Linked DNA regions of Saccharomyces cerevisiae S288C. The main gene of each other region encodes a partner of the protein of the gene in region 2 in a complex. Each region holds a gene or a part of one and is shown on either strand. Other genes may lie near its edges. A codon is read from its position in the direction of its gene.

The links.
Region 1: the proteins of TAF12 (region 2) and TRA1 are in contact, whole or in part, in a cryo-EM structure (PDB 6T9I), measured with the Saccharomyces cerevisiae proteins. Residues at the interface, in NP_010429.1 of Saccharomyces cerevisiae: Ala353 (codon at 1,064), Ile354 (codon at 1,061), Phe355 (codon at 1,058), Lys356 (codon at 1,055), Gln357 (codon at 1,052), Thr358 (codon at 1,049), Glu359 (codon at 1,046), Pro360 (codon at 1,043), Ala361 (codon at 1,040), Ile362 (codon at 1,037), Pro363 (codon at 1,034), Ile364 (codon at 1,031), Ser365 (codon at 1,028), Glu366 (codon at 1,025), Asn367 (codon at 1,022), Ile368 (codon at 1,019), Thr370 (codon at 1,013), Pro373 (codon at 1,004), Pro375 (codon at 998), Val376 (codon at 995), Tyr378 (codon at 989), Ser380 (codon at 983), Asn381 (codon at 980), Arg382 (codon at 977), Pro383 (codon at 974), Thr384 (codon at 971), Ile385 (codon at 968), Thr386 (codon at 965), Gly387 (codon at 962), Gly388 (codon at 959); in NP_011967.1 of Saccharomyces cerevisiae: Leu869 (codon at 4,886), Val871 (codon at 4,892), Ile905 (codon at 4,994), Asp906 (codon at 4,997), Asn907 (codon at 5,000), Leu908 (codon at 5,003), Thr909 (codon at 5,006), Ala910 (codon at 5,009), Tyr912 (codon at 5,015), Gln935 (codon at 5,084), His939 (codon at 5,096), Ala940 (codon at 5,099), His943 (codon at 5,108), Asn944 (codon at 5,111), Arg947 (codon at 5,120), Lys951 (codon at 5,132), Arg955 (codon at 5,144), Arg2581, Ile2584, Thr2585, Leu2587, Ser2588, Thr2593, Ile2596, Leu2622, Val2623, Tyr2625, Leu2626, Ser2629, Tyr2630.

The regions. Positions count from the first base shown.
Region 1 is NC_001140.6:300,480-305,794, forward strand, and holds the start of TRA1 (histone acetyltransferase TRA1), read left to right. Parts: upstream 1-2,281; coding exon 2,282-5,315. Other genes in the region: SFB3 (Sfb3p), read right to left, coding at 1-1,455. UniProt on the Saccharomyces cerevisiae protein: Essential scaffold subunit of the transcription coactivator SAGA complex. SAGA acts as a general cofactor required for essentially all RNA polymerase II transcription.
Region 2 is NC_001136.10:744,876-748,857, reverse strand, and holds TAF12 (Taf12p), read right to left. Parts: upstream 2,121-3,982; coding exon 501-2,120; downstream 1-500. Other genes in the region: DNA-binding transcription factor SWI5, read left to right, coding at 1-245; MKC7 (aspartyl protease), read left to right, coding at 2,757-3,982. UniProt on the Saccharomyces cerevisiae protein: Functions as a component of both the DNA-binding general transcription initiation factor complex TFIID and the transcription coactivator SAGA complex.

The DNA.
Region 1 (5,315 bases), on a different chromosome or scaffold from region 2:
TAAATCTAAAGAAATGTAGGATTTCAAAAAATCCGATGCTAATTTCTTATAGAACCCATTGTCGCATTTAACATGAGCAATGTGTGCATTGTCCCTTTTTAGCGATAAATTCCCGTTGCCGATCGTTGGCAAGCTGTTCAAAGAACAAATAATCTTACCACCTTGCCCGCCAGTTACTGTGTCTAACGCTAATTTTGCGGCTTGTAAAGCAGAACCATAACAGACTTGGGGTACGTGACTATACTTGTCGGTGGAGATGTAACCACTAATTTTTATCAATGTGTCATTAATGATTTTCATCGAGTTTCCGGGTTTAACAAATAATCCATTATAAAATGGTAAGAAAACATCGTCCAATTCACTTACAATGTACTCTTGTGCATTATCTAAATCTGGTCTCAAATTAAAGAACCGCAACTTATTATCATAAACGATTATAGCAACCTCACAATTTGGCTGGAAATCTGAAATATACTCAATACATGACCTGACACCTTCCACCATGGCTAAAGAACTTCCGTTCTCATTAGCTAACAATGAAACATCAATCAAAAACACGTAGTGTAGTGGTAAAAGCTCCTTCTCCTGAATAGCATTGTAAATACTTGGCACCAAGAAATCGACTGTTCCGTGCAATAACTCTGATTTTTCGTTCAAATCACTTCGTTGCCCATTGGGACCCATGGGCGCAAAATGCTCACCTGGAACTTGCATCTTAACTCTACAAATATTACAAATAACACTTGAATCATAAGTGAACTGAAATTTAGGATTAGCATACGCACGACAACGTCTACAACGCAAAGGCGTACCATCCATTGGTAATGGAATTGTGGGAACTTCTGCATCATTCGGTGTCAAAGTGGAAAATGGTTGGATGGTTAATCCAAGTGGTAGCTTCGTGGCGGCTCTCAAGTGTTCACTTTCGGGGATGTTGTACATGGATAAACTCATCAAGTGCGGATCACATGAACCTTGGTCAACACAATAAAACTGGGTGGTCGGCAAGGGCGGAACAGAATCTCTACAAGTTTCGAAAGATCGTTGTAAATATTGAGCTTGATCTTCAAATCTTTGAGTTGGAACAATGTGAGATGTAGGTTGAGGCGCTGTCATATCAAGCATAGATTGACCATATGGCGAGGAGGCCTCACTCGCACCGAATCGCTCTTGACTCACCATTACAGGCGTGGACATAACGGAACCCGAACCGTTGTTGAAGCCACCAAATTGCTTAGGGGTAAAGGCTTGAGGTTGTTGAAAACCATCCTGCTGATTCAATTGGGGTGTAGTGTAGGGTGAATTGCCCAAAGTAGGAACAGTGCCCGAGGAAAAGTTATGATATGCTCTGTGAGGTCTTCTACTTTTTTTGGAAGATGCTCCGCCCGTATGCACAGTAGATTCATCAAGAGAGAGCGCTGAAACACTAGCTGCCAAAATATTCTGCTGAGACATGATGGTCCAATATTCTTCTGCAAATGGCCTCCTTAGTAACCCTCAAAATTACTAATTTCTTCAGTTGCAAGCTCCGATTTGGTTGAATCAGACCTAAGTTGTTACAGCGTACGTGTTTTTTTTATTTATTTATTTTCTAACATTTTTCTCTTTGGTTTTTCCAGTTTGATCGTTCCCACGTTGAGACGAAACGAAGGAAAAAAAAGAACATTTTTTTCGCATTGTGCACGGAAGGCTTCACCTTCAATAGGGCAAACAGAAGGACGAGCTGCATCACTTTTAGCCGCCACTAATCAACTCCTTCAGATAGATCGCCAGAACGCAAATAAGTGAAATTTGAAGATCAACTTGAATCAAAAAGCCAAAACTAAGAATTGTACGCTACTCTGCCAGACAATATTTTACGGACACGCGCATTTCAAGACAAAGCCATAATTCATGCCTTTTCAACTAGCATCTGGACGCCGCTGAGATCATAGGAACAAACAAAACGCACGAAAATAGCTAACGCACGTATCGAATACCAAATCAGTCTGCATTTATTGTACCCTCAAATTACAAATTCAACCAACAATTGTTCAAAAGACCACCTTGAATCTTGTGTTTCCTAATTTGGTAAGTGATCACGTGGTCAGACAGTTTTCCAGGTCAAACTGAAAAAAAAGCTCAAGAACCATTTTTCTTTAATAGCCTTTTTTAGTTGTATTCTAATAAACAACACCAACAAAATCGGAGGTATCACACGTAATTACATAAAGAAGATTAAATTCAGAGAAGATCTATCACACGATATCTCCATAGTTACAAAGAATACCGCATTTTGCCGATGTCACTCACTGAGCAGATCGAGCAATTCGCCAGTAGGTTTCGCGATGATGATGCCACTCTACAATCGAGATATTCCACTCTATCGGAATTGTACGACATAATGGAATTACTGAATTCTCCTGAGGATTACCATTTTTTCTTACAAGCTGTGATACCTTTACTTCTAAACCAGCTAAAGGAAGTTCCTATTTCATATGATGCGCATTCACCGGAACAAAAGTTGAGAAACTCTATGCTTGATATTTTCAACAGGTGTCTCATGAACCAAACCTTTCAACCCTACGCAATGGAAGTGCTCGAGTTTTTACTTTCAGTACTACCAAAGGAAAACGAAGAAAATGGGATATTATGTATGAAAGTGCTGACGACACTTTTCAAATCATTCAAATCAATACTACAGGACAAACTCGACTCCTTCATACGAATAATTATTCAGATTTATAAAAATACACCAAACCTTATAAACCAGACGTTTTATGAAGCCGGGAAAGCAGAACAGGGTGATTTGGATTCACCAAAAGAACCACAGGCAGATGAACTTCTCGATGAATTCTCCAAAAATGATGAAGAAAAGGACTTTCCATCGAAACAATCATCCACGGAGCCAAGGTTTGAAAACTCTACCTCATCAAACGGGTTGAGGTCATCTATGTTTTCCTTTAAAATCCTTTCTGAATGCCCTATTACAATGGTCACTTTATATTCGTCTTACAAGCAGTTGACTAGCACCTCGCTTCCGGAATTCACTCCTCTTATTATGAATCTATTGAATATACAAATTAAACAACAACAGGAAGCGAGAGAACAGGCGGAATCACGGGGAGAACATTTCACTTCTATATCGACGGAGATTATCAACAGACCGGCTTACTGTGATTTTATATTAGCCCAGATCAAGGCCACGTCTTTCTTGGCTTACGTATTCATTAGAGGATACGCTCCTGAATTTTTGCAGGATTATGTGAATTTTGTTCCTGATTTAATCATAAGGCTTTTACAAGACTGCCCTTCTGAACTATCATCTGCTAGGAAGGAACTTTTGCATGCCACTAGACACATTCTATCTACAAACTACAAAAAGCTCTTTTTACCCAAATTGGACTATCTGTTTGACGAACGTATACTTATTGGTAACGGTTTTACTATGCATGAAACATTAAGGCCCCTGGCTTATAGTACTGTGGCAGATTTCATTCATAATATAAGATCTGAATTACAACTAAGTGAAATTGAAAAAACAATAAAGATTTACACTGGATATCTATTGGATGAGTCATTAGCCTTAACTGTACAAATCATGAGTGCAAAATTGCTGCTTAATTTAGTTGAAAGAATATTAAAATTGGGAAAGGAGAACCCACAAGAGGCCCCTAGAGCAAAGAAATTGTTAATGATAATCATTGACTCATATATGAATAGATTTAAAACCTTAAACAGACAGTACGATACAATAATGAAGTACTATGGAAGATACGAAACGCATAAGAAGGAGAAAGCAGAAAAGCTCAAAAACTCTATACAGGATAATGACAAAGAGAGTGAGGAATTTATGAGGAAGGTACTGGAACCATCCGATGACGACCATTTGATGCCACAGCCTAAAAAAGAAGATATCAATGATAGTCCCGATGTTGAAATGACAGAATCTGACAAAGTGGTGAAGAATGACGTTGAAATGTTTGACATAAAAAACTACGCACCTATATTATTACTACCCACACCAACAAATGATCCCATCAAGGATGCTTTTTACTTATACAGAACTTTAATGTCTTTCTTAAAAACAATAATTCATGACTTAAAAGTCTTTAACCCACCTCCTAACGAATATACGGTTGCTAATCCTAAATTGTGGGCTTCTGTTTCTAGAGTTTTTTCATATGAGGAAGTCATTGTTTTCAAGGATTTATTTCACGAATGTATTATTGGTTTGAAATTTTTTAAAGATCATAATGAAAAATTATCTCCAGAAACAACAAAAAAACATTTTGATATATCAATGCCCAGCCTACCGGTCTCAGCCACCAAAGATGCTCGTGAGTTAATGGACTATTTGGCATTTATGTTTATGCAGATGGATAATGCCACTTTTAATGAAATAATTGAACAGGAACTGCCATTTGTCTATGAAAGAATGCTGGAGGATTCTGGGCTGCTACATGTCGCGCAATCCTTTTTAACAAGTGAAATAACCTCCCCAAATTTTGCTGGCATCCTTTTAAGATTCTTGAAAGGGAAATTGAAAGATTTAGGAAACGTTGATTTTAACACTTCTAATGTCCTAATACGACTTTTCAAATTGTCCTTTATGTCCGTCAATCTTTTCCCCAATATCAATGAGGTTGTTCTTCTTCCACACTTAAACGATCTAATTCTAAACTCCCTGAAATACTCAACTACAGCAGAAGAGCCTCTAGTATACTTTTATCTTATTAGAACTCTTTTTAGAAGTATAGGTGGGGGCAGATTTGAAAACTTATATAGATCGATTAAGCCCATACTACAGGTGCTATTACAATCTTTAAACCAAATGATACTTACTGCACGATTGCCCCACGAGAGAGAACTTTATGTGGAATTATGCATCACTGTACCAGTTCGGTTAAGTGTGCTTGCTCCTTATTTGCCATTTTTGATGAAACCATTGGTATTTGCATTACAGCAATATCCTGATCTCGTTTCGCAGGGTTTAAGGACCTTAGAATTATGTATTGATAATTTGACCGCCGAGTATTTTGATCCTATAATCGAACCGGTAATCGATGACGTTTCGAAGGCCTTGTTTAACCTTCTGCAACCTCAACCATTTAATCATGCTATCAGCCACAACGTAGTCAGAATACTGGGCAAATTAGGAGGTAGAAATCGTCAATTTTTAAAGCCACCAACGGACCTCACGGAAAAAACGGAACTAGACATTGATGCGATAGCAGATTTCAAAATCAATGGTATGCCGGAAGATGTACCGCTTTCTGTAACGCCAGGAATCCAGTCCGCTTTGAATATATTGCAAAGCTACAAAAGTGATATTC
Region 2 (3,982 bases):
GAATGATTTGCAGCGGTGGTAAAAAGTATGAAAACGTGGTAATTAAAAGGTCTCCAAGAAAAAGAGGAAGACCAAGAAAAGATGGAACTTCAAGTGTTTCTAGTAGTCCAATCAAAGAAAATATTAACAAGGATCATAATGGACAGTTGATGTTCAAGCTTGAAGATCAACTCAGAAGAGAGCGTAGTTATGATGGGAATGGAACGGGGATTATGGTTTCGCCAATGAAAACTAATCAAAGGTAAAAAAAAACATTGATGTTATGGACACTTTTTTTAATATTTAATAATAAAAACAAAATGAAAACAAGGAAAAAAAGTTTTTTTTTTTTTTAATTATGTATAATCTAAGTAAATAATATAGTATGAACACTTTAGATACAAAATATTAATTAATCAATTAATTTTAAAAAATTTCGCTTTATAGATACATATATAACAATGTGAACTATAACTTTAGGAATTTTTTCTGTGGAAGAGTGGAGAATGTGGGTAACATAATTATTTTTTTGTATTCAAGCTTGCAACATTGTTTCCATTGTTTTTTGCAGCTGCTACCTTATCTGATGTGATACTCTGCAATTTCTGGTTATAATTTTGAGAGGGATTCCATTTTCTTGTACTTCTTATTTCGTCTGCGGAATAACCAGGAATCCTAATATTCCAATTTCTCTCCAAATGTAACTGAATGTCTCTTGCCTCCAAATTGTCCGATTTTCTGTGTTTTGCCAATCTACAAGAAAAAGCTGTAACATTAGTAACAAAATCGTCGGCAAGATCCAATAGTAATTCCTCAACATCACCGTCAATGACAGTTTCACCGTCACCCTCATCAATTCCGACAGTCTTCACTAACTCTCTTAATTTACGCTTTGACATAACTCTCTGAGTATCCATTTCATAGGGTGGTAATTTAGTTGTTGCTGGTGTATTCAAAGCACTGGCATTCATAGCAGAACCTCCAGTTATTGTAGGTCTGTTGGATCTATAAGCTACCGGTGCTGGTGTTTTGGTAGATATATTTTCCGATATGGGTATGGCAGGCTCTGTTTGTTTGAATATTGCCGATTTGCTCGAACTTATATTATTCAACATAGATGCCGTTGCATTTACATTGGTTACCTTAGCTTTCGATTGTTCAGTCTGTGAAGTGTTAACATTGCCCCTGGGATTATTGGTGGCAGTTATTGTATTCTGCTGCTGCTGCTGCGATTTCAGTGCATCAGGGCCGGTTACAGAGGGTATTTCAGTAGAATTAGAACTAGAAATCTTTCTTTGGTTTTGACCCTGGCGTTGCTGTTGCTGTTGCTGTTGCTGTTGCTGCTGTTGCTGCTGCTGCTGCTGTTGTTGTTGTTGTTGTTGTACCCTTTGTTGCTGCACTCGTTGCTGTTGAGTGCTTTCTTGCAAGAATTTATGTAAAGCCGGATTGTGTCTTGCACACTCTACATAGAATGTTTTTTTACTGTTTTGATAATTATTGAACAGCTTGGTATACTCAATTTTTAGCACCTTCCAATCGTTAAGCAGTTCAATTTTCTTTTCTTGTAGCTGCTGCTTGGGCCCTTCGTCCGTCTGTTTATTTATTTCTTGTTCTAACCTATCAATATTTTGTTTCAAGTAGGTCTCTTTCTCCTTTATACTCGTATGACGGACTTGGAAATTCTGCCATAGCTTTTCATATTCTTGGTTCTCTTCCGGGGTGAGAACCTGTTTTATCATATTGCTAAATTTGTTACTGTTGTTTCTTGTCTGTTGTTGTTGTTGTTGTTGTTGCTGTGATGAATTAGGGACATTTTCAGTAGGAATAGAAGCTGGATTGCTTGAATTTGAATTTGAAGTATTATTGTAGGCTTGCGCAGCCTGTTGTCTTCTCCTATTCAGTGTAAGGGCATCATATACCTGTTTGATCTTTGCGGCTTGGAACATCAATTCCTTGCCCCTAGGAGTAGTTTCACCTACATTTCTTGCTTCAGTCAGTAATGTCCTGAACTTAGCGGCCATTTCTTGCAACTGTCTCGGTTGCAGTACCATATTTTGCTGAGCTCCTGTGATCGCATCAGCGTTACCAGTGCCCGTATTATTATTCGCATTAACACCAGAATTTTCTGGATTGGAAGACATTGTCGTATTTTATACACACACTGGCAAAGATTCGGTTATGATTCGAATGCTATTGGACAGTCTCCTGTCTTACACTAGCGAACCTATGCGCTATATATGCCCATTATTCATTTGCTCCGACTTAAGTCTAACACATTTTTTAACAAAATTCGCCGCGTATACTGCCCGGGTAATACAGCCAAAATCGTGATATTCATTTGATACGTTTACTTGCAAAGCTGTCATGAATCAAGATTGTACATTTATATACCATAAGGTGCTCTTCATATTCAACAATGCATTTAATTCATCCTCGCTACGCTTACTAGACCCTATTTACTAATTAAGACGGGATTCATACACATCGTTTTGCACGTAGAAAGTTACACGCGTTTTTTTTTTTTTGAAGTTGAAATTTCAGCTACGCATCGAGAAAGTTTATTTGGCAGTTTTCTTTTAAAGTTTTGAACCTGTTTCAATACCTTATTTCCTACCATCTTTCATTATTCAGATAATCACTTTTGGGAGAAATTTGGTTGGCGTCACTCGTTCTTGCTAAGAAATTGTAATTGGCTAAAAGTATCAACGAGAGAACAAGCTTTTGTCGTTATTCGCTTGAGCAAATACGTCAAAAATAAACGAAAAAGAAAGAGCTCTATGAAATTATCTGTCCTCACATTTGTCGTAGATGCATTACTTGTCTGCAGCTCAATAGTAGATGCCGGTGTTACAGATTTTCCATCCTTACCAAGTAATGAAGTCTATGTCAAAATGAATTTTCAGAAGAAATACGGCAGTTCATTTGAAAACGCTTTGGATGATACAAAAGGTAGAACGCGTTTGATGACAAGAGATGATGATTACGAGCTGGTGGAACTGACTAATCAAAACAGTTTTTATTCGGTGGAATTAGATATTGGCACCCCTCCTCAAAAAGTTACTGTGCTTGTCGACACTGGTTCTTCTGATCTATGGGTCACGGGTTCAGACAACCCATACTGTTCCACTAAAAAGAAGGATACCACTGGCTCATCCTTTAAACAAGTAAACAAGGATGCTTTGGCTAGCGTGGTTGAGAGTGTGTTTACTGAAATTAGCTACGACACCACTATAGTTACCAGCGAAGCCACTGCTACTTTTGATAGTACAGCTTCTACATCACAGTTAATTGACTGCGCTACATACGGGACATTTAATACCTCTAAGTCGTCTACATTCAACTCCAATAATACAGAATTTTCGATCGCCTATGGTGATACGACTTTTGCATCTGGTACCTGGGGCCATGATCAATTGAGCTTGAACGATTTGAACATTACGGGTTTATCATTTGCTGTAGCAAACGAAACAAACTCAACAGTTGGTGTCTTGGGTATTGGTTTGCCTGGCTTGGAGTCAACTTATTCTGGTGTTTCTCTCAGCTCTGTACAAAAAAGCTACACTTACAATAACTTTCCGATGGTGCTAAAGAATTCGGGTGTAATAAAATCAACAGCTTATTCTTTATTCGCAAATGATTCTGATTCGAAACATGGTACCATTTTGTTTGGCGCTGTGGATCATGGAAAATATGCGGGCGACCTATACACAATTCCCATCATTAATACTTTGCAGCATCGCGGCTACAAGGATCCAATTCAATTCCAAGTCACTTTACAAGGATTAGGTACGTCGAAAGGGGATAAAGAAGACAATCTGACAACCCTAACCACTACAAAGATCCCAGTCCTGCTAGATTCAGGTACGACCATATCGTATATGCCAACTGAGCTGGTAAAAATGCTTGCCGACCAGGTCGGAGCTACTTACTCTTCTGCATATGGTTACTACATAATGGATTGTATCAAAGAGATGGAAGAAGAGAGTAGCATCATCTTTGATTT